Linked DNA regions of Ovis aries. The protein of the gene in region 1 binds, or shares a complex with, the protein of each later gene. Links are inferred from orthologs where the notes say so. Each region holds a gene or a part of one and is shown on either strand. Other genes may lie near its edges. The genes, in order: SRRM2, PPIL2, CWC15, SNW1, CWC22, SF3B2 and CRNKL1.

Region 1 (4,195 bases):
CATCGAGAATTTGGTTACAGGAAAGGGTCTTACTGAAGGTAATGGGTTTTAAGAAACTATCACCCTTCACCCTCACCTGAGAAATATCAGCTTAAGCCCAGAAAGGACAGGCTTTTCCACTTTGCCATAAATCACTCCAAAGGTGCATCCAACTCCAGGAAGCACTTGCCAGGAGTTCAAGAAGGTAAGATTACATCAGCCCTGGCACCTTTAAGCCAAAGCTACAGCTCCTACACCAAGCAGTAGGTTGCCCCGCTCCAGCATATGAGGTGAGTTATCTTTCCACGATTACAAAGAAAACCTAGTAACATCAGATACAAAGTCAAAGGGGCCACAGTTCATTAAGTGGCTGCTGGTATAAGCTGCCCCCACCCCCACCCCAAACAGAGATAACCCAGACGACTGGCCTGCCTCAAAAACTCAGCTTCTCCCAACTCTGCTCCGAGGGAGACTAGCTGGTCCTCAGGCTGAAGCAAAACGGACTTAAAAACATTAACTTAAGACATTCTGCACAGGGCTGACAAGCTTGGGGCGGGGTGGGGGTGGGGGTTGTAATGTTTTTACCCTGCCACGTATGTAACACGCTTCATGTTCTGCAGGAGAAAACTGCACCTCTGTCTGGCCCCTTACTCGCAGTCATAAAAAAAAAAAAAAATCATTCCTCAGGGGCAGCCAGCCCGGTTCAGCGGATGGAAGCTGCGAACACCACGGTCTGCTGGCTCAGCTCTTGGCTCAGGCCCTGGGCCTGTAGCTGGGCTCTGGGATAACCCGGGTGTCCGCCGCCCAGGGTCCGGGGGGCGGGTACTCCTGGGTCCGGAATGATAGGTGCAGCACAGCCCCCGGGCTCACCCCGGGAGGCGTGCGGTCACTTGGAGGAAGCGGTATTATTGGCCTCGGGCCCATTGCCTCCTAACATGAGGAGACAAAATGGCGGCCTCGTGGGGGCGGGGGAGAGCGAAGCTACCTCCGGGTTCCACGCCACACTAGAACTACAACTCCCAGCATGCTCTGGGCCGAAGGCGGGAGCGATCGAGGGCTAGCGACGCTAGGCCCTGTGTCCTCCTGCTCCCCGTCGGAAACCCCCTGGAATGCGTTGCTTCCTCCGGGCCGCTCCCGAGACCCTCCTCGCAACTGCCTGACGGGAATCGTAGTTCATCGACAACAGAGTTGACTCTCCTTCGGGACTCAAGAAACTACACATCCCGTGCTGATTCGGCGCCTGCGCACAAGGCCGCGGAGCGTACTACGGTTCCCGGCGGGCCTTGCGACGCGCGCGGTTGCGTGCTGACGCGTTTAGTTGGTCGTGCTGACGTGCAACGCGGCCCAGGCGGGGTGCGAGTGGCGCAGTCGGAGCCCGCTGCGGCCCCTGAGGAAGCGAGGAGGCGGCGGTGTCGGCTGAGTCGGGCGGACCGGCGAGGCAGGGCCGCTGCTCCAGGCCCCGAAGGACTCAGGAGCTCGATCTGCGGCAGCACCTCTCCCCCTCGGAGGCGGCGGGTGGAGGCGGCGGCGGGTGAGAGGGTGAGGGAGCGAGCGAGCCGGGTGGGGGAGGGGCGGCGGCCCCGGCGCCAGGCCAAAGCGCGCGGAGAACGGCCCAGGCCGCCGCGCGCACGCGCGCTCGCCGCCCCTAGCTCGCGCGGACGTCCCCGCTCGCCTGCCTCCCCTCCCCCTCTCCCGCGGTTCCTGTCGCGCGCGGGCTTTTATTCCCCCTCCCCCATGGCAACGACGCGCGCCGCCGAGTGCACTTGGGCTCGCGCGCGTTCTCGGCGAGGAGTGGGTAGCGCGCGACTCGGGCTTCTCGTCTCCCAGACGCGTGCGGCGACGAGGCCCTGTTGCAGCTGTCCTTGCCGACATCTTGTTTGCGGGGAGGGGGCTGCGGCGGCGGGGGCCGGCTGTCGGCTCCTTTGCCCCGCGCCTCGCCGGCGTCCGGCCTGTCCGTCCCTCCCCGGGGCTTGGGGTCTGGTCCTGAGCCTCCCAGACTACCGGGCGCCGCGCAGCCCCCTCCCCCATCCCTCAAGGCCGAAAATAGGTCTTGGCGGCTCAGCCTGTGCAAAAAAGGTCTTGAACTAGATATCTCCTCGATTTAGGCAGTTTGGATTCGTTACTGTCTGCCATGAAGTATTAAGCGAAGCATTCAAAACGTTTTTTTTGTTTTTAATTAAGTACTCAGTCTAGGTATGTTAAGGCAGACCACGTGCTCTTTTCTTTTCTTGCACCTTTTCATGGTCTCCAAAGTTGTGTTGAAGCTGGGAAGGCGGCTGCCAGCCCTTTCTTGAGGAGAAAGCGCAGGGTTTTATTATAATTTGACTCAAAACTCTTCCAGACCTCGGTTTTCACGCAAACGCTTATGTAAGATATCTTTTGGGTCAAAAATTTTTAAAGTTGTGTTGTGTTTCCTTTTGAGTGTGTTGAATCTAGGCACTCTCTTACTGAGCTAGTACTTCAGCTTTCTGGGTTCCATAGTCCCTCGTCAGCTACTGTGGTGCCCCAGTGCTGAACTTGATGTGCTTACGTATTAGTTTCATTTTCCTGCACTCTCCGCTCCCTTTTTCCTGCGTTTCTTTCCTTGACTGTCGTAATACTGAATTTTAAGACTCCTTTTGTCTTGTTTAACATGTGATAATTCTCCAACAGAAAAATGCTTTTTATCTTCTTTTGCAGCTTGCTTTTCATCTGCCTTTAGCTTTGGTGACTTTTGCATGCCCGTAGTCCGTGGATCCTAGTTTAAGTGTCTCCATTTGGGTTTTGGTGATTTGTGTATATGTATTATCGATACACTCCTCCTGTCTATCTGTCCTTTGTGAGCATTGTCTTGGATGCCATGGTATTTCTGTTTTTTGTTTGTTTTCTTTGCTGGGTCATTTTCTAAAAGTAGTTTGTTGTGATTGAATACCCTTTGCTTAGCAGCTGCTGGTTATCCTTTTCCAGGGAGTGGGAGGATTATTGTGTGAGGTGGTATGGAAGTGTGGGTGAATGGTTAAACTGAAAAATTAATTGCAGGTCAGAAGCTTTCTGCTAGGGAAGCAGAAACTAGGTAGGGTATAGAGAGCCAGAGAAAATCTAGCTTAAGAGCAAGGAGAAATTTTGAGAAAGTAAACGTGAAGGTTGGAAGATTTCTTGTACTATAAAGAAATTTTTCGTTTCACACAGTTCCACTTGCCTTTCCTAGATTTAGCATCATCCTTTACCCCAATATGGTTATTTTTTTGTTTTGTTTTCAGATCTCTAGAGTCTGCAACTGGGATTGGGTAGGGACCCAGCCTTAGAGTTGGGGGGGAAGGGGTACCAAACTGTTCTAGAGTTGAGCTGTCTTCTTTTCATTCAACATCTACCTGTAAAGGGGGAGGTTGGTACATTTTCCCAGGTGTTTATGTTTCTTCCAGAGTATTTTAAATGGAACTTTTCTTTTTATCCAGTTCTGTGTTTTTTTTCTTCTGCCTTCACTAATATCTCAACTTTGTTCCTTGGGTTCTTTTCCTGGGGTCCTTTTCACTCACACATTTCCTTTGTGAAACTATCTTGGACAGGAGGAGTTGGAGGAAAAAAAAAGTACATAGAGCAGGAGAAAGGAATAGTCTGTGTAGTCAAGAAACCTAATCAGAAAAAAACTAGCATTTGAGGGTTTCTTCAGAGTCATGTGGGGCTGGATGAGAAAAACTAGGCAGTAAGGTAATGAAGGGACTGTTAAAGTCAGCAGTTTGACTTTAATGAAGGTGAGGGAGAAAGAGTGGGGTTTTTGTGACTAAGTGTAGGGAAAGGATGTAGAGAAGGTATGGGGAACAGTTGGACTAGAGGAGACTGCTTTGATACATAGAGAGTTTGAGTTGGAAACGCAATCTTTTCGTAGGAGCTAGGGAGACTTGGGTGAGCCACAAACCATGTGAGAAATCCTATTGGGAAGGAAATTGAAGAAATAACATATCAGTCAGGATAGTTGATATGCCTCTTACCTGAGAGATGATGTATATGAGGATTATGTATCCAGGCTTCATGTGTTTCTGTAGTGCGTGCTGGCCTTTTAGGTTAGGCCTCCTTTTGGATATCAAGGGGTTCTCGAGTCAATTTGTAGTCATAATTTCTGGCTACGTTCAGGGTAGCTAGCCTGAAATGCCTAGGTCAGTTCTTGGAAGACTCTAGACTTGACTGCAGGCCCTTGTGTGCCACAGATCTCTCTCTCTCTCTCTCTGTTTTTATTTTT
Region 2 (4,293 bases), on another chromosome or scaffold:
CCAGTGAGTCGGTTTCCAACTTGGTGCCTCCCTAAAGAGTTTCAGAGACACGTGACTCTGATCGCCTTGCATGCTGACCTTAAAGTCGACCTGCATGTGAGATGTGAGTCCTCACAAAGTGTCCGATGATGCTGGCCGGTAGAGCAGATGTTGCTTGAGCTCTTGGGTATGCCCTGCACCTTGCTTGGGGCTTCCCAGGTGGCAAAGAACCTGCCTGTCCATGCAGGAGACGCAAGGGACACCGGTTTCATCCCTGGATTGGGAAGATGCCCTGGAGGAGGGCATGGCAACCCACTCCAGTATTCTTGCCTGGAGAGCCCACAGACAGGAGCCTGGCGGGCTGCAGTCCAGAAGGGTGGAAGAGAGTCAGTCGCAACTGAAGGGACAGCACGCAGCTCGCAGGCACTTTGCTTGTGACTGGAGATAGCAGACGAGCAGTTGGGGTCCTGGCTCTTGGGGAAGCCATGTCTCCCTGAAGAGAGAGAGAGGGTGTGTGTGTGTGCGTGCGTGCGTGCGTGCATGTGTGGCTAGACAGTACACAGATGGATTAGTACAGGATTACAAGTGGTAACAAGCCCTTGTAGCTGTATGGGGTGACTGGCTGGATAGTGGTACTCTGAGGAGAGTGGACCCTAGAGGGGGAGGAGGAGAATTCTGCTTTAGCAGACATACTGAATTCGAGTTCACTGGGTTGCCCGAGTAGAGGGCAGGAGTCTTGAGTGCTGGCCATTTAGCGTTGGGAGTCAAGCGATACAGGCGTTTAAAGCCGCGAGCCCGGGCAAGGTCACCCAGTGCTTGAGTGTAGGGGGAGGTCTGAGGCTTGGCCTGGGGCACCCCAACGTGGTGGTCCGGCCGAGGGAAGAGGCCGAAGGGATCACGAAGGCTTTGGACCTTTGGGCTTGATGGCCACCTGCCCCTGGGTAGCCCAGGAGAGGGGGCTGCAGGCAGTGCGGTCCCGGTGAGCGGTGAGAGGGCGGATAGCGAATGTGGGTGTCCATCTGGAGGTGCCGGCCTGGGGCAGAGATGGGGCCAAGGCCGGGGGAACTTCCGGGCTCCAAGCGGAAGACCTGAGAAGCCAGGGCAGACCAGGGCGGGTTTGGGATGGGATGGCGTTGAGCTGCGACCAGGCAGGCAGGCTAGGTAGGCGGTGCACAGAAAGCTGCAGAGACGGGGAGGCTTCGACGCCGAAACTGCTCAGCCCCCGGGCGCGGGGAGCCCCCGGGCGCGGGGAGCCCCCGGGCGCGGGGAGCCCCCGGGCGCGGGGAGCCCCCGGGCGCGGGGAGCCCCCGGGCGCGGGGAGCCCCCGGGCGCGGGGAGCCCCCGGGCGCGGGGAGCCTCCGCGCCCGGCGGGCGTGCACTCGGGGTGGGGGCGGGGGCAGCCAGGGACCACAGTTCCCGGCGTGCTCAGCGCTTGCTTCCGGGGCGGTTCGGCGAGACCCGGAAGTAGTTACGGAGTTCGTCCGAGACGCCGCGGTCGGAGGTGTGCTTTTCCCCCGTCTTCTGCGCTCGCTGACCCTGCCGTCGCCATGGGGAAGCGACAGCACCAGAAGGACAAGATGTGAGTTGAGCCGCCACCGCCGGGAGCGGGCCTGTCCGCCCCGCGCCCCGCCCCCGAGCTCCCGAGACGCCGCTTCCCCGGAAGCCTCCGCCGCTCCGCGCGGGTTTCCGGGGCCCCGCGCTCTCCGGCCCGCCGACGCCGCCTCGCCGGAAGCCTCCGCGGGCTCCCCCTCCGGCGCGGGTCTCGGGGGTCCAGTCCCCTCGGCTCCTCAGGCTCGCCAGCTTTTCCCTGGGGGCGTCTCCTCGGGCGCGGTGGTCGTCCCTCGTCCCCCAGTCCGCTCCCGAGCTCCAGCATCTTCCAGTTAAACCCACTTGGGCCCCCGAGCTACCGTCGAATTTCTTTGATTTTCTTAACCGCCAGACGATATTCAGGACCGCTTTCCTTTAGGATGGACTGGTTGGATCTCCTTTCTGTCCGGGGGACTCTCAAGAGTCCTTTCCAAGAGTCTTTTCCGATGGTTTGGTTTTTACATGTGTGGATGTAAAAGTTCGAGTATAAAGAAGGCTGAGCGCCGAAGAATCAATGCTTCTGAACTGTGGTGCTGGAGAAGACTCTTGAGAGTGCCCTGGACTGCAAGGAGATCAGCCCTGGGTGTTCATTGGAAGGACTGATGCTGAAGCTCCAATACTTTGGCCACCTGATGCGAAGGGCTGACTCATTGGAAAAGACCCTGAAAGATTGAAGGCGGGAGGAGAAGGGGACGGCAGAGGATGAGATGGCTGGAGGGCATGGGACCTCCCTCAGTGGACAGTTCAGTTCAGTCGCTCAGTCGTGTCCAACTCTTTGCGACCCCATGAATCGCAGCACGCCAGGCCTCCCTGTCCATCACCATCTCCCGGAGTTCACTCAGACTCACGTCCACCAAGTCAGTGATGCCATCCAGCCATCTCATCCTCGGTCGTCCCCTTCTCCTCCTGCCCTCAATCCCTCCCAGCATCAGAGTCTTTTCCAATGAGTCAACTCTTCACATGAGGTGGCCAAAGTACTGGAGCTTCAGCTTTAGCATCATTCCTTCCAAAGAAATCCCAGGACTGATCTCCTTCAGGATGGACTGGTTGGAAATCCTTGCAGTCCAAGGGACCCTCAAGAGTCTTCTCCAACACCACAGTTCAAAAGCATCAATTCTTCGGCGCTAAGCCTTCTTCACAGTCCAACTCTCACATCCATACATGACCACAGGAAAAACCATAGCCTTGACTAGATGGACCTTAGTCAGCAAAGTAATGTCTCTGCTTTTGAATATACTATCTAGGTTGGTCATAACTTTTCTTCCAAGGAGTAAGCGTCTTTTAATTTCATGCCTGCAGTCACCATCTGCAGTAATTTTGGAGCCCCCAAAAATAAAGTCTGACACTGTTTCCACTGTTTCCCCATCTATTTCCCATGAATTGATGGGACCAGATGCCATGATCTTCGTTTTCTGAATGTTGAGCTTTAAGCCAACTTTTTCACTTTCCTCTTTGACTTTCATCAAGAGGCTTTTTAGTTCCTCTTCACTTTCTGCCATAAGGGTGGTGTCATCTGCATATCTGAGGTTATTGATATCTCTCCCGGCAATGTTGATTCCAGCTTGTGTTTCTTCCAGCCCAGCGTTTCTCATGATGTACTCTGCATGTAAGTTAAATAAGCAGGGTGACAATATACCACCTTGATGTACTCCTTTTCCTATGTGGAACCAGTCTGTTGTTCCATGTCCAGTTCTAACTGTTGCTTCTTGACCTGCATACAGATTTCTCAAGAGGCAGGTCAGGTGGTCTGGTATTCCCATGTCTTTCAGAATTTTCCACAGTTTATTGTGATCCACACAGTCAAAGGCTTTGGCATAGTCAATAAAGCAGAAATGTTTTTCTGGAACTCTGTTGCTTTTTCCATGATCCAGTGGATGTTGGCAATTTAATCTCTGGTTCCTCTGCCTTTTCTAAAACCAGCTTGAACATCAGGGAATTCACGGTTCATGTATTGCTGAAGCCTGGCTTGGAGAATTTTGAGCATTACTTTACTAGCATGTGAGATGAGTGCAATTGTGCGGTAGTTTAAGCATTCTTTGTCATTGCCTTTCTTTGGAATTGGAATAAAAACTGACCACTGCTGAGTTTTCCCAATTTGCTGGTATATTGAGTGCAGCACTTTCACAGCATCATCTTTCAGGATTTGAAACAGCTCCACTGGACTTCCATCACCTCCACTAGCTTTGTTCGTAATGATGCTTTCTAAGGCCCACTTGACTTCACATTCCAGGGTGTCTGGGAGTCGGTGATAGACAGGGAGGCCTGGCATGCTGCGATCCATGGGGTCACAGGGTCAGAGGCGGCTGAGCTGAGCTGTCTGAATGGCGAGATGAGGACGATCCCCTGTGGTTTTCTGCCTTCCCCTTGACCCCGCTTCAGTCAGCGTCTGCCCGCGTTGCTCCTGTCGGGATCCCTCAACTCCGGGGGCGGCTCCATCCGGGGGTCAGCTCTCTGTCCTCGCTTCCTGGGGCGTGCCGGACCACCGCTCTCCCTCTGAAGCCCTTCCTCGGTGTCTGGGACACCACTCTCTGTTTTCGGGTTTCTTCAGAGACGGTGCTCTCTGGGTTCCCTCTCCTGGGTCCTCTCCTCCCCAGACCTCCTAGGTCTCCTCCCGCCGCTTCCTCTATTTCACACTCTCCTCGGGTGATGGCCCCAGCCTGGCTTACAACACCACCCCTGGAAGATCTGACGGGCTTGTGGAGTTCAGTGAGGGAGCCCCGCTGTGGA
Region 3 (3,213 bases), on another chromosome or scaffold:
GAGTTGGACACGACTGAGCGACTTCACTTTCACTTTTCAGTTTCATGCACTGGAGAAGGAAACGGCAACCCACTCCAGTGTTCTTGCCTGGAGAATCCCAGGGACAGGGTAGCCTGGGGGGCTGCCGTCTACGGGGTTGCACAGAATCAGACACGACTGAAGCTCCTTAGCAGTAGCAGCAGCAGTCCCTTATAGAAAGTTTCCCAGCCCCTAACATAGGCTGACTGGTCTGAAATGTTTTGAAACACCTCAGCCACTAGAGGTGCCACTAGAAAGCGAGACAGGGAAAAGTCAGCCACTAGAAAGCAAGACAGGGAAATAGGTACAAAACTGTCATGTGACTCCAAAAAACACCAACACGTTTGTACAAAGAAATCAGATGCATGTTACAAAATTGCCAAGAATTTCTGTCTGAAATGTTTATGCTCCAAATGCATTTAATTGTCTCTTTCTGTATCCACAGCTGTTAGGAAGGCCAAAAGAATCTGGAATAGAATAACTGCCCTCTTGTGGTGTGCAGATGTAGGAATGGTCCGACACTTCTACTGGAGTTTTGCTATCCCCTACCAAATTTTGACGCGAATTGTATCTTTAATGTTTTTATTCTTCCAATCTGAATTCTAGCTGTCTTCAAAGCCTATCCCCAATTCTACTTCTTTTCTCAATTCTTCCCTGGCCGTTCTGACCCACATGAATTCTACCTCCCTAAGTTCCAAGCATTAACCTACATCAGTCTTTTTCCTTTTTTTAAACAGAACAATTCTTGGTTCAAATAAAATCTTACTCAGAAGCCCACTTAATAAAAAAAAATTTCCTCTATTCTGGTTGAAAGTGGAGGCAGATAGATCTACTTGAGGGTCCCACAGTGTGCCAAATTCAACATGTTCCAAACATAACTCATCATTTCTTTTCTCTCCACTGAAGCATGCCCATCCTCTGTGTTCCCTGAATTAGTGCATGGCACTCACACAGACCCAGGAACTGTTATAGCTAATCGGTCACTCTTCTTTGGTCAATTTTATCTCCCTGATAGTTAACGTCTCTCAAATTCAACTCCTAGCATGCAAGAGTCTCGTCACAGGATATGAGGATTATTGAAACAGCCCTCTAACCAGTTCTTCCTTGCATCCTCCACACTTTGGCCAGAGTAATCTTTCTAAAATGCACCCCCAACCTTACCATCTCCTGCTGAAATCGACTAATTCTGCATATCCTTTGGAACAGAGTTCAAACTCCTTTAGCATTGGTCTAGAAATGGTCAGTGCACTCACTCACTCTTGCTTCCTAAGTTTTCTCTCTTATTGTTACTACTATGGGTAATTATGTAATAAAGGTACACAGGACCATGGATCCTATTTAATTTATCTGTCTCTGAGTTAGACACTCTTTCCTTCCAAATGGAGAGACTGTGGGGACTCAGAAAAGCTAGGTTACATAAAATTTACTGACAGCCTCAGCAAGTACCTGGAAAGAAGGCTGGGGCAGAAGACAAGGACAGAGGTAAAGATGGCTTCATTCTATCTGTGGGTTCTTCCTAGGTAATGACTACATCTAGTCATCTTTGATTCTCCTGACACTTGACAGACATTGACTAAATGTCTGTTGAACAAATAAATGAGTGAAGAATAACTTAATGATTAGGCCTAAAGCATGTTTGAACCATTTCAAAAGAATTTTTAACGTAACTAGGAGACTTAGGCTGTCACTGAATTTACCAGATTTATGGACCTACAGGTGCTGTAGTATCTAGACCTGGCAAGGATGATTCCTCATATAAGGTGCTACTACTTAAAAACATTTCTACTGTAGTTTATGTGAGAAGACGTAAAAACATTTAATATGTTGGTTTTACCTTCCTGGCCTGCTCTTCAGCTCTTTCTTTTTTGATTTTTTCCAGCTCTGCAAGAAGAGCTGCAGTATCGTCATCATCACTCTCCTCTTCAAAATCTTCATCTTCATCCTCCTCCTAAAAAAGAAAGGTGAGGTTAGACATAAGGCATAAGTCGTATGTTTTCCATAAAAATGGCACTTATCGAATCTTTGGAGCAGGAAATTTCCCTGGGAAAGACAGATGTAGCTAAATACAATTAGAATCAGCAACCAAACAAAAAGTAAAATAAAACCTCACAAGTAGCTTATGACTACTTACTAAAATGTATTTTAAAATGTTTTTTAAACATTATAGCAGCAAATAGTATCTTTCAAATTTACATGAACAAGTAAGAATTTATATATGAAAATATTTGTAAAACTAGAAAAAGAACATTTTACAGTGATACACACTAACTACATTCTTTGAGGGTCAAAATAGTTTTATATTGCTCAAAACAACTAGGAAATAAGGATAATTGAAAGTACAAAAAAGGGTGTTAAATTCTCAGAGTAAAATAATTTCAAATGAATAATCATTAAATGTAACTTAAAACTGAGTTCCTTGTATGAATTACTATGCTAATTTTTAAATTAGTCTATCAATTCTAGAATTACTAACATATATGCTTAATTAGACGCTACCCTTGAAGACTTTTCCCTGTACATAGAAAACTGCAAACCTGGTAGGACCTAAATTTGAATGTTAATGAAAGTGCCAATCCTTAAAAGCCTTCCACTTAGATCACATGTCTCTCTAAACACAGAGGGAGCAATTATGCCCACTGAACATGTGGAAGGGGCATCACTGGTTGAGAATACAGAAAGGTCCCTACGTTCACTGGAGGGGATGCTATCGATGAAGAGCCCAGTCTGAAGAGGCAGAGCTATCCAATTTCCATGGTTTAATACCAGGAATTATTTTTTAGGGAAGCACACCTTTCTGGCTCTCCAGAGATCAAACTTGAAATGTGATTAACAAGATAATGCTTTCTTTGTTTTAAAATAGACTATAAAGTTTAGCACTCAAGTCAGAGCTGTAACTGAATAACAGTACGTAAATACAAATACAAACTGCTTCTTAAAGCTAAAAGAATAAAAAAGTATTTCAGAAAAATGGTAAGTAAATTACTACATGGAGGTAAGAGGAAGAAGTAAACATACATCTGTTAGTGGATCGTCTGCATCAAGGTTGGCAGCAGGAATCTGGTCCAACCGAGGCTTCTTTGACACTGAAGAGGAGGTTGTATGTTCTGGCAGAAAACAAACAATAGTTAACTCACTGAATCAAATCCTGCATTTCTTGTAACATTTTAGGGACTTGTGGGCACCAAGAGCTTAGGT
Region 4 (3,730 bases), on another chromosome or scaffold:
CAGAACCTTCATTACTTCCCTTCAACTCTAGACTCCTATAACCAATTGCCTACTTGACACCTCCATTTTAAACATAACATGTCCACAACTAAATTCCTAATTTTTCCTTCCCAAATCTCTCCGCAGTGTAGTCTTACCAATATTAGTAGATAGCAATTCAATCCTTGTCAATTGTTTAGGTCAAAAGTTCCGGAGTCATCTTTGACTCCTTTTCTTTCCTTCTGCCGAATCCATAAGCAAATTTTGTCAGCTCTACTTTCAAATCACACCCAGTACCTGACATATTTTCACTATCTACCTCCTGCTATTATCTCTTATCTGGATTATTGCAATAGCTTTCCAACGGTGTTCCTGCTCCTGCAGATAACCATTCCATTGCTTTCTAACATATTCAAGACCATGTCATCCTGCTCCAGACTCTTCAGATTACTTCCCTTGTTACTTGAAGTAAAAGCTATAAAAGGCACACAAGATCTGGCCACTTTGCCCTAACTACTCTGACACCTCATCTCTACTTAGCTTTCTAGGTCTAATCCAGCCATTCTGGCCTCCTGCTTTTCCTTGAACATAGCAGATACACTCCCAACTCAGGGCGTCTGCACTGGCTGCTCCTTCTATCTGGGATGCTCTTCCCTTAGGCTCACTTCCTTACTTTCTTCAAGTGTTTTTTTTGTTAAAGTTACCATCTCGGAAGTGAGGTCTATTCTGACCACTCCCTCCTTCTGGCACTTTTACATACTCTTCCTCTTTTTTGCCCTCATAGTGACTGTTATCTTCTAATACACTATATGATTAACACTTTTTTGTCTGTCTACACTCCCTAAAATGTTCACTGCTATATCCTCTACCCGACTAGCAGAAAACTCTGTGTCTAGATTAAATCCTTGCCCCTAGTAGGTGCTCAACATGAACTGAATGAGTAAGTATACTAGATGAGGAATTATTACTGAAACCACCCTCATAATTTTCTTGAACTAGAATTAGTCTTCTCACTCTAACGGAATTAATATAGCACATATACCACAATATTTATGTAGATCACTAAATAAAGCAAGAGAGAAAATGATTAAAGGCCTAAAAGAACAACTGTGGATTAAGTTTACCATTGGGGGAGCTGAATTGTTCAGTTTGAAAGCTCTTTTCTCTAAGTTTCCAGAAAAGTAAGAGAAAATTAAGCCTATCATTTGAATAATATGTGATTTTTAAAAGTATTTTGCTCAGAATTTTAAAAATTTCTGGTGTAGTCCCATATTAAACGCCCACATTTAAATACACATTCTTTTCTATTACTTCCACTTAATGAGGCAGAAATTACTGTTTCATTTCTACATTATTTCTGAAATATCTACATTTTCTTTACATGTATGTACTACTTCTGCATGCAGCAAAAAAAACAGCTGAGATTTTCTAAATTGAGATAAGTATTATTCACAAAGTAAATTCAATTTAGTAACAAGTATGTCAGGGCTTCCCCGGTGACTTCCCAGATGGTAAAGAATCACCTGCCAATGCAGGTTTGATCCCTGGGGCGGGAAGATCCCTGTAGGAAATGGCACCCCACTCCAGTATTCTTGCCTGGGAAATACCATGGACAGAGGAGCCTGGTGGGCTACTGTGCATGGGATCACAAAGAGTTGGACATGACTTAGCAACTAAACAACGAGTATGTTATACCTTTTTCCACATGGGTTTTGATCCCAGCTCTTCTCTCTCTGGCTTTCTGGGCCATTTCTCTAAGTTTCTCTTCATGTTTTTCCTTTTCTTTTTGCGCCATCTTTCTCTCTACTTGAGCACGCATTTCCACCGCTTCACGAGCCTGTAAGTGAAGTTAGATGTTAAATAAGATACTATCAGGGATAAAGAATTATAGCTGTCATTTAATTTCCTGACTAAACTCTGGCTTGAAAGAACAGTTAGAAGAATTCACATTTGTTACTGCTAATTAAAACACAGATTCTTGTCTACAAAAGATAACTCGCCTAGACGACATTGCAAACAGCTTTTTCACTCTGACTCCAATCAATCTTGTAAGTCAGTGTTTCACTAATGCTTTTTCACTGTTTCATTTTAGAAACAATCTAAAAAATAAAATTAAGCAATAAAGCAATTTTCAATATCAATAATAGGAAGTGGTAATGTTTTCAAAATCAATCAGATCAACTCAAGATATAGCCTTAGTATAGATGAGCAAGAAATAATTTACATAAGGGTGCTCACTGTGACACAGAAGATATACTCTTGTATATTCTATGCCCATACCCTGATGCATGTAAACTTAAAAGACACATATTAATACCATAATATTAACAGACAGCCAATACTATGAATGCCATTTTCTGTAGCATTCAATACATCGGTATGTTTATTTTCCCTTCTATGCCACTGATCTTTTGGAAGACAAAGAGAAATAGGGAAAAATTATGAAACCCAGGAAGAGTAGGTGCCAACCTTCCCAAAATTGGGATCAGTCTAGTGAAGCACCGTTATTCTAGAATGTTGTGGGAAAGATGAATCACCAGTGGTGGGGTATGTATATGAGTCTACAAAGGCCAAGACTGGGTCAGAACTGCCACCAGCACATGTCATCTCTGGAACACATACCACAGGTGAGAGCCTCTCTGGGTACTCAGCAATGTAACCCAAATAACAGTATCTTAGGTAATTTTGAACAGATTTACAAATTATCAAGAGCATCAAACAACTTAATTACAACAGACCAACCTTTCGATCAGCAATGTAGAGGGCTTCGGCCAGTTTTGCAAAATTTTCATTGATGTGAACTGTTTGCAGTCCTCTTCCATCGGCAGCCAGACGTTTATCTAATGGAATTGTATAACCCTAGGACAAAGGCAGGCAGAAAACACTGGTCACCAAAGAGCAACAATGGAGTCTTTAAAACTAGATTTATATATGTCCATTTTGACAATCATTTTAAGTTCTTTCTCCTTACATCTCTTTTCGTAATTAAGCAACAGTAGTAGCAGCTAACACTGAGGGCTTCGTGTGGAGGACTGTTTAAGCGTTTTATATTTATGGCCTCATTTATCCTTCACAGCAAGTCTATAAGGCTGGTAATGGTAACATTATTATTTCCATTTCACAGACGAAGACACTGAGGTAGAAAGCCTAGGTCATACAGTTAATAAGCAGAAGAACTAGCATTTCAGAGTGCAAGCTCTGGGAAAACATTCTCATGTTAAATTTTGGGTTATAATAAAAGGAAATCACTACCAAATAGCTAAAGAGTTGCTCATCAAGTAAATGTAACAGTTATACAAAGGTAGAAGAAAGCACTAAAATCATAGTGTCTATAGGTAACTTAATCTGCTGCACTGCTTTCATGACTTATCAGATTCTTGGAACCCTACACATTTTAGTAAACAGAAAAAAGATAGAAGTTTGCTAGACAATTAAGATTCTTTGTTTTGAAATTCTGCATCCTGTTTCAAGAACTCAAGGAATATGCTTGAACATTTATGTAACTTCCACGCTTAGCTTTATTCTTTCAGACTTTTGAGTAGACTACTAAATAATGACCTCCTGCCCATGGTCTTTATTCCTAATTCAAGGAGTGTTACAGACAGCTCAAGATGCCTCATAGTTATACATACATAAATATGTATGGTATACCAAACCAGACTACCCAACAATCCTTTTGTTTCAGGATGAGTGTGTAACTTGATCAAACTGGGCCCTTGGCAGTGAAAGTGCCGAGTCTTAACCACTAGAC
Region 5 (3,730 bases), on another chromosome or scaffold:
TATTAAATTTTGACGAAGTACATCTCTTCAGAACTTAGACATTTATAAACATTTTAATTGAGGCAACTTGTGACTAACCTTTAAAAAAAATAATAATCTAACAGTATAATTACATCTAAAAATAACCTTGTTTTGTGAAGAGAAGCCTTTCATTAGATAGTTTTATAAGTAGATTATCAGCTTCTTGAATAACACTGCCCCATAGAACATTTTGCATTGATGAAAATATTCATATTCTTCCCTTTTTAGTACAGTGGCCACTATACTGGTCACATGTGGCTTCTGAGTACTTAAAATGTGACGTATGACTAAAAAACTAAAATTTGAATTTTACATAATGTTGAATAATCTAAATGTAAATGGCTATGTATTGCTAGGGGCCAGCACACTGGACAGCACAGTTGTAAAGTGTTCTATGCTTCTTCAGGGTCCCCCTTCCTTCTTGCTCATGGATCAGTCAGTTCAGTTCAATTCAGTTGCTCAGACATGTCCAACTCTTTGCGACACCATGGATTGTAGCTTGCCAGGCTTCCCGGTCCATCACCAACTCCCAGAGCTTGCTCAAACTCATGTCCATCAAGTTGGTGATGCCATTCTACCATCTCATCCTCTGTTGTCCCCTTTTCCTCCTGCCTTCAATCTTTCCCAGCATCAGGGTCTTTTCCAAAGAGTCAGTTCTCTGCATCAGGTGGCCAAAGTATTGGAGTTTCAGCTTCAACATCAGTTCTTCCAGTGAACACTCAGGACTGATTTCCGTCAGGACTGACTGGTTGGATCTCCTTGCAGTCCATGGGGCTCTCAAGAGTTTTCTCCAACACCACAGTTCAAAACCATCAGTTCTTTGGTGCTCAGCTTTCTCACATCCATACGTGACTACTGGAAAAACCATAGCTTCGACTAGGTGGACCTTTGTCGGAAAAGTAATGTCTCTGCTTTTTAATATGCTGCCTAGGTTGATCATAGCTTTTCTTCCAAGGAGCAAGTGCCTTTAATTTCATGGCTGCAGTCACCATCTGCAGGGATTTTGGAGCCCAAGAAAATAAAGTCTGTCACTGTTTCCATTGTTTCCCCAACTATTTGCCACGAAGTGATGGGACCAGATGCCATGATCTTAGTTTTCTAAATGTTGAGTTTTAAGCCAACTTTTTCACTCTCGTCTTTCACTTTCATCAAGAGGCTCTTTAGTTCATCGATTTCACCATAAGGGTGGTGCCATCTGGATGTCATCTGGATGGTGTCATCTGGTGGTGCACGTGGAGATTTCCAATAAATGCATATTGACCTAATTTTTTTTTAATATATATAATAATTACCTATTAATAGATTGTATCTCATGTTATCAGAGGACAAAAATGTCAGAATTCCTAATTGAAGATATAAAGGTACAAAATAAAAGTGAACTGAAAGAGTATATAGTATATTTTATAGCGTTGCTTTCTGTTTATAGAACACGAATACATTGCAGTTAATGTATTTTATTAAAAATTACTTTTTAACTTTCTAATAAGAAATGTTTTGTAGAAAAAGATCTTTAGTCAGTTTAGCAGTACTCAGAGTTAGGGTTAGGATTATTCTCTTTTTCATTTTGTCTCCATTGATTTGTCCATATTTCCTGAGTTTCTTGATCTATGAAATTGCTGTAATTGATATATATTTCATTAGGGTTATTTCAGGAATTAAATAATATTTATTCATTATAAGTAATTTGTGATGTTGGTATTTCCCGATCTTGGATTAACTCTTGCATTTCATAGCCCAACAGAATTTTCACAGAGGAGTTTTCAAGACACAAAAATAACTGATTGGACAGTCTGTGGAAAGAACAGTTATGGAATGATTCCATCTATTTATTTAGATTCATCTGTGGACAGATCTATTGAGTAGCATTTATTTTGAGGCTAAAAATCTTGGCCACAAAGGTCTTTTTTGTTGTTGTTCTTTTAGATATATTTTCTTATAAACAAGGCAGTCATTATGTTAGCACTGAAGTTGTGCCTACTTTATGCTCTGTAAAGACTCACCACGTTTTGCCTTTTCCATACTAACAAAATATATTCTTGATAACTCAGTTTAAATGTTGTATTGGTGGTCTGTATTTAAAAGATTTCTGTATAGAATCTTTTAGAATGTGATATATTTAGTTTCTTTTTGTTGATGTATCTGTTTCCTTGATAGTTCTTTGATATTACGTATCATTCTTCCAGAACTTTGAGGCATTCCATAACAGTTTCCCAAAGAGAACAATTAAATGCTGTCTTTTCAAAATTTCACAGCAGGTTTTCTTGAAGTGGCTCATACTTACATGAGTTTAGAATTTTATAAGCAATCTAATTAGCATAAATGACATGGAATTTCTATTAGCCAAACAGAAGACTTTAAAAAACTATAGTCTTGACAGAGATTGAATTTTTTGTTTTGTCTTCATAACTCAACTTCACAAAGTTTTATGTTTTTAAAACCTTATTTAAAAATTCAGGCTATCTTTGTCATATTGATAAATTATCACACAGCATAGATTCATTGTGTTTTGAATCATTAATGTAATTTTTTTCCAAATAGAAAGAACTCTGCAACATGATACTTGATTGCTGTGCCCAACAAAGGACATATGAGAAATTTTTTGGCTTGTTAGCTGGGGTGAGTTCCGACCTCATTTTTCTTGTTGGATTTTGATGAAATCACAAGGGTAATTCTGAACATGAGTATTGTGAATTAATGTGTCTGCTTTGTTGCCTGGTCTAATGTACTAACATATCTTTGCTGAAAAACAAATCATTCTTCCCTTCCACAGTTTCCCTAATCTCTGTAGCTTCCTCCCTTCCCACTTCCTGTTTGTAGTTCTTTGATATTACATATCATTCTTCCAGAACTTTGAGGCATTCCATAACAGTTTCCCAAAGAGAACAATTAAATGCTGTCTTTTCAAACTTTCACAGCAATTTCTGGTCAAGTACATGTTCAGACAACATAAATAAAGCATGAGCTAAATCATTTTTTGAATCCAAACTTAATCCATAGAGAAGTATATTTATTTATCTTATATAAATATGTGTATCTGTGGCTAGCCATGTGTATAACTTTGTTTTAGCATATAAATCCCAGGGGTGGTATAAATTGACTTCTTTTTTAAGCATCCCATTATACAACAAAGAAGAGTGATATGACATACAAACATTTATTAACTTTTGATTGAATAAAATTAGGATTTAATATGGTGTTGACATTTTTATTTTTAATTTATTAGCGATTTTGCATGCTAAAAAAAGAATACATGGAATCCTTTGAAAGTATATTCAAAGAACAATATGATACCATCCATCGCTTGGAAACAAACAAATTGAGAAATGTTGCTAAGATGTTTGCTCACCTTTTATACACTGATTCACTTCCATGGAGCGTAAGTAGATGAGTCAATATTTGTACTTCTTTCCTAATCCCCTGTTATTCTGAAATAAATATTATTAAGTATAACATAGCCATACTCTTCCAATGTAGGCAGTGTGTTTTAAAATGACATGTGGAGCGAACTTCCACTATAATGGCACTCTTTGCACTCTTTGAGGTTATATTCATATAACGTGGAATCAAGAAGCTAACTTAGTGAATGAATGTAAGAAATAACATTTTGAATGATATTAATAGTCAATGTTACAGAGTCTTTTGAAGGCGATACCTAGGAATGTTTTCAGAACATAGTTTTTTATCCTCTCTGTGTGCATGTGTGTGCACA
Region 6 (4,340 bases), on another chromosome or scaffold:
CTGAGGGATGCGGGTGTGGAGGGAGGGGAGAGGGAATAGAGACCATTTTGAGTTGCCCCGCTCTCTCATCCAACACACATACATGCACACTGGCTGCGACCTGGCTGTCTGTGAGACAGCAGCACTAGAATGGGAACGGGATCTCAGAGCTGGAGGCAGAGGTGGGAAGATGAACTGAACTGACTGATCAGGACAGGGAGAAGCAGAAGGGGGCAAGCAAGGGCCACCTGCCCATCCCTCCCTCAGGGGCACAGGCCGCTGGTGGGGTAGGAGAGCACCAGACAGGGTCTGCTGCGCCAGTAAGCTGGTGGGGATGAGGGAAGAAAAGGTCCTGAGTTTATTTTCTTTCTTTTTCGGCCTTGCGGTGCGGCTTGTGGGATCTTAGTTACCTGACCGCGGATGGAACCCGGGTTTCCCCAGGGAAAGCACTGAGTTCGACCCACTGGACCACCAGGGAATTCCCCTGCGTTTATTTTCAAGACTAAAAAAGGATCCAAATCTTGTCGCTTAAGACTGCTTTTTTTTTTTTTTTTTCCCCCTTTCAGTAATAATTCATTGAGCACTTCTAACGCCAGGTACTGTGAGACCGTAAAAACTCATGTCTTGGGAGTTGTAAGTGCAGAAAAGGGCAAGAAAGATTTCAAAACAAATGGTAGAGGTTTGGCCGCTCCAGAGCAGGAAAGGCGGGAGACAGTTTAACGTAGATGACATTTGAGACGGCCAGGAAGGTGGAAAAAGGGGCTTTAGTGTGGCCCTTCCCCCAGGTCGGCAGCTGGATCTCAGCCCGGAGGGCCGGCTTCGTTCCCGTCTCCGATCTCCTTTCAGCCCATTCATCCATGCCTGGGCCGGGGATGGGCGGGCAGACAATCAGACACTGTTTTATCACAGGCATCGGCGGCAAACTCCCGCTTGGCGCCCACAGCGCGCGACCGCCGGGGGAACGAGTCCCTGGAGAACGTGAGCGTCCAGGCCTCTCAAGTCCAACCAGGGAGTAGCGCCGCAAGGCGGGAGGTCTGCGCTGAGGCCAGTGAGATGCAGAAAGCACGCCCTTCGGGCAGGACCTGCTTTCCCCACAGCCCCGCCCCGGCTCTGGCCTCCAGAGTTCCCCGCGTCGCGGCCGGCCGCGATCCTCCCGGATTTGAATCCGCAGAGATCGTGACCTGTGCACTACAACTCCCAGAAGGCTTCGCGACCAGGCGGCCTAAGGAGCATTGGAGAACGGTAGGGGGTGGGCCCTGATGGGAACTGCCTGGCAACCCTCGAGCGGACGTGGCGTATCGCCCTACCGGAAGTTCCGGGAAGTGGGTCCGGAGGCTGGTCCGAGCTTCCGGGTTGGTCGCGCGCCTTCCTGCGGCTAAGATGGCGGCCGAGCATCCGGAGCCTCCTAAGGGAGAGTTGCAGCTGCCGCCGCCGCCGCCTCCTGGACACTATGGTGCCTGGGCTGCCCAGGAGCTTCAGGCCAAATTAGCAGAGATCGGAGCTCCCATCCAGGGTGAGGAGCATGGGAAGTCAAGGGCAGGAAAGTGCAGGCCTGCGGGGAAGCGGAGCTGGTTACCCCGGAGACCCGGGGGCGGGGGTTAGAGGCTGGCCGCGGTGGCCTGACTTGGGCAGGCTGGCCTGCTCGACCTGACCTACCCCGTTGATCCTGTGCTTTGCTTAGCAGGGAGTCGCGAGGAGCTTGTGGAGCGATTGCAGGCTTACACTCGCCAAGTAAGTGTTGGTGGCGGGACATGAGGATAGGCCGAGCGTTTGCAGGAGGCATTAATGACCCGTTACAACTCGGTCTTCGTTGTTTACGAATCTCGGTACAGCAAGTGGGGTCTTGGCTGCTTCGTATCTGCTGTGTTATAATTGCTTTTGTATATATCGTTTCTTCCCAGAGCCCATTCCGAGCTCTGGCAGACAGTCACTGGGTAAATTTTGTTGAATAGACGAGAGCGAACGCTGTTTCATGCACCAGCTCCTTTTAGACTGCCCTAGATTCTTTTCACTTTCACAGACTGGCATCGTCCTGAATCGTCCCGTTCTGAGAGGTGAAGATGGGGACAAAGCTGCTCCTCCTCCTATGTCAGCACAGGTAAGAAGACTGTCTCACTTGATAAGATTCTTTTCTACTCAGAGTAGCTCCTCCTCTGAGCGTACAGGGGGATACACGTAGCCCACTGGGCAGGGAGGTACACTGATGAAAGAACTGGGAACTCTTCAGTTCTTCCTTCGTCCAGATTCTTACTTCCTTTCTCAGTGTCAGTTCCTCCAAATTTCATGTGTCATTTAAGATTCAGCTTAAATATCTGGAAACCTGACATAATCCTTCCCCAGCTGGAAGTAATCACTCTCTTCTCTGCCCTCCCTGTGCAGAGTTCCCATGTTATTCAATGAGAAATTAGGGCTTACTCTCTGATTTAATTTCATACCTTCTATATTTAATCAGTCATTGGGGCACACTGGGTCTTATTTATTTAAATACTCTCAATTTCCATGTCTTTTCTGATCCAGGATTTGATAGTTTTTCTGTAGAGCAGTGGCCCTGACTTGGGGTCCAGGGACTTCTATGTGTGGCATAAGAAGGTTTTTATTTTTTGAGGGGTTGAGGAGTTTTTCAGAAGGCCTTTAGAGGTGTCCGTGAGTCTCCTGAAATTGTATGTGAAGTCTGTGTTCATGATGTTCTTCTGGGACAGAGTTGACAGCTTTCATCAGTTGGTGGCACAAAGTTAAAATGCTCTTCTTTCGATACTGCCGTAGAGTATTCTTTCTTTTTTCCTTTATGTCTTTGGCTGCTCTGGGTCTTCATTGCTGTGTGCAGGCCCTTTCCAGTTGAAGCGAGCACAGGACTACTGTCTAGTTGTGTTGTGCGGCCATCCCATCGCAGTGGCCTCTGGTTGCGGAGCACGGGCTCCAGGGTATACGGGTTTCAGCAGCTGCAGCACACGCGGCACATGGGCTTAGTTGCCCCGCAGCACGTGGAATCTTCCTAGAGCAGGGCTCGAACCCATGTGCCTTGCGTTGAGCGGATTCTTAAACATTGGACCTTCAGGGAAGCCCTGCATTTTCTTGAATGCAAGAATTGTGCATCATTTGACTTTGAATCCCAGTGCCAGCCTTATATTAGTTCCCCAGCAAATGCCTGCCATTACATAAATGCTTCATAGTTAATGGCCTTTTTTTCCCCCCACAGCTCTCGGGGATTCCCATGCCGCCCCCACCCATGGGTCTCCCTCCTCTACAACCCCCTCCACCACCCCCACCACCCCCACCTGGCCTTGGCCTTGGCTTTCCTATGGCAGTTGGACCCCGCCCGCCAAACTTGGGGCCTCCTCCTCCTCTCCGGGTGGGTGAGCCCGTGGCGCTGTCTGAGGAAGAGCGGCTGAAGCTGGCGCAGCAGCAGGCGGCATTGCTGATGCAGCAGGAGGAGCGTGCCAAGCAGGTAGGGCAGGTGGCAGCCTGAGCCTGGGTCTCACCAGGGTCCTGAAAAGGGAGTAGGGCCTCCAGGGGAGCCGGATCCTGGGGCCAAGGCTTCTGGGAAGGTCTGGACCCAAGTCTTCAGGGCCTCGGCTGGAAGAGCAGACCAGGAAGCAGAGCTGTGGTAGACTGGCCGGTGGGGTGTGGGTACTGGAATGAGCTCGTTTTCTTTCTTAAGCAGGGAGATCATTCACTGAAGGAACATGAGCTTTTGGAGCAGCAGAAGCGGGTAATGCCTCCCTCTTCCTAACCTTTGACCTCCATGGTCTAATCCATCGTCTGTCACTTCTAGTGCTTACTGTCTAAAATTAGCCGTGCCATTCAGGTTTCCCATGGAGATTACCTCATCCTCATCTAAATTCCATTATCTCCCAAATAATTCTTTCTTTCACATAGCCAAGGAATTGGTAATCTGTGGACTATAGCCTGTTTTTGTATGGCCTGTGATGTAAGGATGGTTTTTATATATTTGAAGGGTTGTTTCGGGGAGATGGGGGAAAGGAATTTACAACAGTCTACAAACAACCCAGAAAGCCTAAAATATTTACTGACTGGCCCATTACAGAAGAAATTTCCTGACCCCTACTGGGCTTTCCCAATGGCTCAGTGGGTAAAGAGTCTGCCTGCAGGAGACAGGAGATGTGGGTTTAATCCCTGGGTTGGGAAGATCCCCTGGAGAAGGAAATGGCAACCCACTCCAGTATTCTTGCTTGAAAAATCCCATGGACCAGAGGAGCCTGGCAGGCTATAGCCCATGGAGACATGACTGAGCAACTAAGCACTCAGGCATGCACGATCCCTACTAGTCTTACGTGATATCATTTTAGGTACACTGGAGAGGATTCTGGGCTAATTTAGTCATTTGTATCAGATTTAGTTCA
Region 7 (4,359 bases), on another chromosome or scaffold:
GACTGTGGCTCAGATCATGAACTCCTTATTGCCAAATTTGGACTCAAATTGAAGAAAGTAGGGAAAACCGCTAGACCATTCAGGTATGACCTAAATCAAATCTCTTATGATTATACAGTGGAAGTGAGAAATAGATTTAAAGGACTAGATCTGATACATAGAGTGCCTGATGAACTATGGAATGAAGTTCGTGACAGGAGACAGGGATCAAGACCATCCCCATGGAAAAGAAATGCAAAAAAACAAAATGGCTGTCTGGGGAGGCCTTACAAATAGCTGTGAAAAGAAAGAGAGGCGAAAAGCAAAGGAGAAAAGGAAAGATATAAGCATCTGAATGCAGAGTTCCAGAGAATAGCAAGAAGAGATAAGAAAGCCTTCTTCAGCGATCAATGCAAAGAAATAGAGGAAAAGAACAGAATGGGAAAGACTAGAGATCTCTTCAAGAAAATTAGAGATACCAAGGGAACATTTCATGCAAAGATGGGCTCGATAAAGGACAGAAATGGTATGGACCTAACAGAAGCAGAAGATATTAAGAAGAGGTGGCAACAATACACAGAAGAACTGTACAAAAAAGATCTTCATGACCCAGATAATCACGATGATGTGATCACTCACCTAGAGCCAGAAATTCTGGAATGTGAAGTCAAAGTGGGCCTTAGAAAGCATCGCTACGCACAAAGCTAGTGGAGGTGATGGAATTCCAGTTGAGCTGTTTCAAATCCTGAAAAATGATGCTGTGAAAGTGCTGCACTCAATATGCCAGCAAATTTGGAAAACTCAGCAGTGGCCACAGGACTGGAAAAGGTCAGTTTTCATTCCAGTCCCAAAGAAAGACAATGCCAAAGACTGCTCAAACTACCGCACAATTGCACTCATCTCACACGCTAGCAAAGTAATGCTCAAAATTCTCCAAGCCAGGCTTCAGCAATACATGAACTGTGAACTTTCTGATGTTCAAGCTGTTTTTAGAAAAGGCAGAGGAACCAGAGATCAAATTGCCAACATCCGCTGGATCATCAAAAAAGCAAGAGAGTTCCAGAAAAACATCTATTTCTGCTTTATTGACTATGCCAAAGCCTTTGACTGTGTGGATCACAATAAACTGTGGAAAATCCTGAAAGAGATGGGAATACAGACCACCTGACCTGCCTCTTGAGAAATCTGTATGCAGGTCAGGAAGCAGCAGTTAGAACTGGACATGGAACAACAGACTGGTTCCAAATAGGAAAAGGAGTACGTCAAGGCTGTATATTGTTACCCTGCTTATTTAACGTATATGCAGAGTACATCATGAGAAATGCTGGGCTGGAAGAAACACAAGCTGGAATCAAGATTGCTGGGAGAAATATCAATAACCTCAGATATGCAGATGACACCAACCTTATGGCAGAAAGTGAAGAGGAACTAAAAAGCCTCTTGATGAAAGTGAAAGTGGAAAGGAAAAAGTTGGCCTAAAGCTCAACATTCAGAAAACGAAGTTCATGGCATCTGGTCCCATCACTTCATGGGAAATAGATGGGAAACAGTGGAAACAGTGTCAGACTTTATTTTGGGGGGCTCCAAAATCACTGCAGATGGTGACTGCAGCCATGAAATTAAAAGACGCTTACTCCTTGGAAGAAAAGTTATGACCAATCTAGATAGCATATTCAAAAGCAGAGACATTCTTTGCCGACTAAGGTCCATTAGTCAAGGCTATGGTTTTTCCTGTGGTCATGTATGGATGTGAGAGTTGGACTGTGAAGAATTGATGCTTTTGAACTGTGGTGTTGGAGAAGATTCCTGAGAGTCCCTTGGACTGCAAGAAGATCCAGCCAGTCCATTCTGAAGGAGATCAGCCCTGGGATTTCTTTGGAAGGAATGATGCTCAAGCTGAAACTGCAGTACTTTGGCCACCTCATGCGAAGAGTTGACTTATTGGAAAAGACTCTGATGCTGGGAGGGATTGGGGGCAGGAGGAGAAGGGGACGACAGAGGATGAGATGTCTGGATGGCATCACGGACTCGATGGACGTGAGTCTGAGTGAACTCCGGGAGTTGGTGATGGACAGGGAGGCCTGGCGTGCTGCGATTCATGGGGTCGCAAAGAGTCGGACACAACTGAGTGACTGAACTGAACTGAACTGAACTTTAGTATTAACCGCCGACGGAAAAAGTGAGATCAACCAAAATACAGCCCTTGTCATCTCTTTTCACTCCTTCCACTCTCACCCGGGGTTGACTCCTATTACAGCCTTCAGCACAGCTTAATCATCACTTCTTGCGCTGGAGACCCCTCACACGAGCCCAGGAAGCCACGGCCTATTCCTCTGGGGCTCAGGAGCCTTTGCAAGGCTGCAGTTCTACCCTTACGCAGGGTAGCTCGTAGCCCGCTCTACCCGGAGCCCCAGCGACTAGCGAGTGTCTGTTTCAGCGTGTCTGTGCTGAAGAACCTCTCTCCTCCCCCAGATAAACACTTTTTAACACGACGACCACGCGGACGCGGAGGTGACCCCCATCCCCGGCTGGCCCTCCCCGCCCGCGGCCCCCGCTCAGGTAGGGAGGACCAGCTCCCGGGACCACACGCCTCCCGCCCCAGGGACCACACGCCTCCCGCCCCAGGCACCACCAAGGCCGGGCCAACCCCATCCCCGGCCTCCTCCCACAAGGCCCCGAGCCGCTCACCTTGGCCACTTTGGGGATCCTTTGCTTCCCGGCAGCGGTGGAAGCCGCCATGGCTGCAGCGGCGACCGCGGGCGAGCCCGGGACCACAGAACCTTCCCCGAGGGCTCGCCCACACCGCGCAACTTTCCGACAACAAGCGGGATCCCGGAACCGGAAGCGGAACTGGCTGGGGCGACCTTTGACCTCTTTCCCGCGCCGTGACGGAGTCAACGTCGTTTCTGTGGTAACCGGGCTGCGCGTCCTCTTCGGAGCCTGGGACTCGGGAGTTGCAGGTGAGGTGAGGAGTGCTGGCTGCATCCGGGCCGTCAGGGGCACATCCTCAGATCGCCTCTGGGATTAGGATGACCGTGCGAGGACGGGTGGATCCGTGAAATCGCGGTATCCCGCAAGGGGACAGGAACCCGGCTACCGTGCGGACGCTCGAGGGCGGGGGTGGGGTAGAAAACTACCTCCTGGCATACCTAGCGGCAAGCTGCTGACCTCCTCGGCCGCCCTGAGCTGGGGTGCATTCTGGGCTTTGTAGGCCCGAATGGTCAACTGCCCCTTGGTTTCCGGACAGTTGTGACCAAATAATTCTATGGCTTATAAATGAAAGTGACTGAAGGAATTTTAAAGCCAGATAACAGAAAAAAGTGAAAATAAATCATCGGAGTACTAGCAAATAACCCAGCCTTATAATGTCAGATAAGCAATGTAATATATCAATCTTAAATAATATCAGATAAACAGATATTTAAAATTTTCTGTCATTGTGTCTTAATGTCAATTTTCGTAGCGCCAGTTCGCTTAACTTTTGTTGTTATTGAGTCGCGAATTCAGGTCCCACTCTTTGCGACCTCATGGACTGTAGCACACCAGGCTTCTCTATCCTCCACTATCTCCTGTAATTTGCTGAAATTTATGTCCGTTGAGTCAGTGATTGCATCTAACCATCTCACCCTCTACCACCTCCTTTTCCTTTTGCCTTCAGTCTTTCCCAGCATCAGGTCTTTTCCACTGACTTGGCTCTCTGAATATAGTGGCCAAAGTATTGGAGCTTCAGCTTCATTCCTTCCAATGAACACTCAGGGTTGATTTCCTTTAGGACTGACTGGTTTGATCTCCATGCAGTTCAAGTGACTCTCAAGAGGCTTGTCCAGCACCACAACTAGAAAGTATAAATTCTATGGTGATCAGCCTTCCTTATGGTCCAGCTCTCAAATCTGTGCATGACTATGGAGAAAACCATAGCTCTGACCATACAGACATTTGTGGCAAAGTGATATCTCTGCTTTTTAATATATTGTCTAGGTTTGTCATAGCTTTCCTTTCAAGGAGCAAGAATCTTTTAATTTCATGGCTGCAGTTATCATCCTGCAGTGATTTTGGAGCCCGAGGGGAAAAAATATCTGTCACTGCTTCCATGTTTTCCCCTTCTATTTGCCACGAAGTGATGGGACTGGATGCCATGTTTTTTTAATGTTGAGATTCAAGCCAGCTTTTTCACTCTCCTCTTTCATCCTCATCAAGAGGCTCTTTAGTTCATCTTCACTTTCTGCCATTAGAGTGGTATCATTTGTGTATATGAGGGTACTGATATTTCTCCTGGCAATCTTAATTTCAGCTTCTGATTCATTCAGCCCAGAATTTCACATGATATGCTCTGCATAGAAGTTAAATAAGCAGAGTGACAATATACAGCCTTGGCATACT

Evidence for each region.
Region 2: SRRM2 (region 1) and PPIL2 share a complex: the UniProt entries of both Homo sapiens proteins name them as parts of the minor spliceosome. The link is inferred for Ovis aries from reciprocal best matches to the Homo sapiens genes SRRM2 and PPIL2.
Region 3: SRRM2 (region 1) and CWC15 share a complex: the UniProt entries of both Homo sapiens proteins name them as parts of the minor spliceosome. The link is inferred for Ovis aries from reciprocal best matches to the Homo sapiens genes SRRM2 and CWC15.
Region 4: SRRM2 (region 1) and SNW1 share a complex: the UniProt entries of both Homo sapiens proteins name them as parts of the minor spliceosome. The link is inferred for Ovis aries from reciprocal best matches to the Homo sapiens genes SRRM2 and SNW1.
Region 5: SRRM2 (region 1) and CWC22 share a complex: the UniProt entries of both Homo sapiens proteins name them as parts of the minor spliceosome. The link is inferred for Ovis aries from reciprocal best matches to the Homo sapiens genes SRRM2 and CWC22.
Region 6: SRRM2 (region 1) and SF3B2 share a complex: the UniProt entries of both Homo sapiens proteins name them as parts of the minor spliceosome. The link is inferred for Ovis aries from reciprocal best matches to the Homo sapiens genes SRRM2 and SF3B2.
Region 7: SRRM2 (region 1) and CRNKL1 share a complex: the UniProt entries of both Homo sapiens proteins name them as parts of the minor spliceosome. The link is inferred for Ovis aries from reciprocal best matches to the Homo sapiens genes SRRM2 and CRNKL1.

What each region holds. Positions count from the first base shown.
Region 1 is NC_056077.1:2,806,424-2,810,618, reverse strand, and holds the start of SRRM2 (serine/arginine repetitive matrix protein 2), read left to right. Parts: upstream 1-1,303; 5' UTR 1,304-1,510; exon of another isoform or gene 1,511-1,518; intron 1,519-1,865; exon of another isoform or gene 1,866-2,346; intron 2,347-4,195. UniProt on the Homo sapiens protein: Required for pre-mRNA splicing as component of the spliceosome. As a component of the minor spliceosome, involved in the splicing of U12-type introns in pre-mRNAs.
Region 2 is NC_056070.1:72,135,954-72,140,246, reverse strand, and holds the start of PPIL2 (RING-type E3 ubiquitin-protein ligase PPIL2), read left to right. Parts: upstream 1-1,442; 5' UTR 1,443-1,526; coding exon 1,527-1,558; intron 1,559-4,293. UniProt on the Homo sapiens protein: Has a ubiquitin-protein ligase activity acting as an E3 ubiquitin protein ligase or as an ubiquitin-ubiquitin ligase promoting elongation of ubiquitin chains on substrates.
Region 3 is NC_056068.1:15,096,510-15,099,722, reverse strand, and holds part of CWC15 (spliceosome-associated protein CWC15 homolog), read right to left. Parts: intron 3,123-3,213; coding exon 3,034-3,122; intron 1,967-3,033; coding exon 1,853-1,966; intron 1-1,852. UniProt on the Homo sapiens protein: Involved in pre-mRNA splicing as component of the spliceosome. Component of the PRP19-CDC5L complex that forms an integral part of the spliceosome and is required for activating pre-mRNA splicing.
Region 4 is NC_056060.1:87,012,872-87,016,601, forward strand, and holds part of SNW1 (SNW domain-containing protein 1), read right to left. Parts: intron 2,839-3,730; coding exon 2,722-2,838; intron 1,817-2,721; coding exon 1,675-1,816; intron 1-1,674. UniProt on the Homo sapiens protein: Involved in pre-mRNA splicing as component of the spliceosome. As a component of the minor spliceosome, involved in the splicing of U12-type introns in pre-mRNAs.
Region 5 is NC_056055.1:130,111,960-130,115,689, forward strand, and holds part of CWC22 (pre-mRNA-splicing factor CWC22 homolog), read left to right. Parts: intron 1-2,559; coding exon 2,560-2,637; intron 2,638-3,244; coding exon 3,245-3,397; intron 3,398-3,730. UniProt on the Homo sapiens protein: Required for pre-mRNA splicing as component of the spliceosome. As a component of the minor spliceosome, involved in the splicing of U12-type introns in pre-mRNAs. Promotes exon-junction complex (EJC) assembly.
Region 6 is NC_056074.1:40,571,822-40,576,161, forward strand, and holds the start of SF3B2 (splicing factor 3B subunit 2), read left to right. Parts: upstream 1-1,334; 5' UTR 1,335-1,359; coding exon 1,360-1,492; intron 1,493-1,660; coding exon 1,661-1,710; intron 1,711-1,999; coding exon 2,000-2,077; intron 2,078-3,175; coding exon 3,176-3,424; intron 3,425-3,637; coding exon 3,638-3,688; intron 3,689-4,340. UniProt on the Homo sapiens protein: Component of the 17S U2 SnRNP complex of the spliceosome, a large ribonucleoprotein complex that removes introns from transcribed pre-mRNAs.
Region 7 is NC_056066.1:39,182,157-39,186,515, forward strand, and holds the start of CRNKL1 (crooked neck-like protein 1), read right to left. Parts: upstream 2,820-4,359; 5' UTR 2,719-2,819; coding exon 2,668-2,718; intron 1-2,667. UniProt on the Homo sapiens protein: Involved in pre-mRNA splicing process. As a component of the minor spliceosome, involved in the splicing of U12-type introns in pre-mRNAs.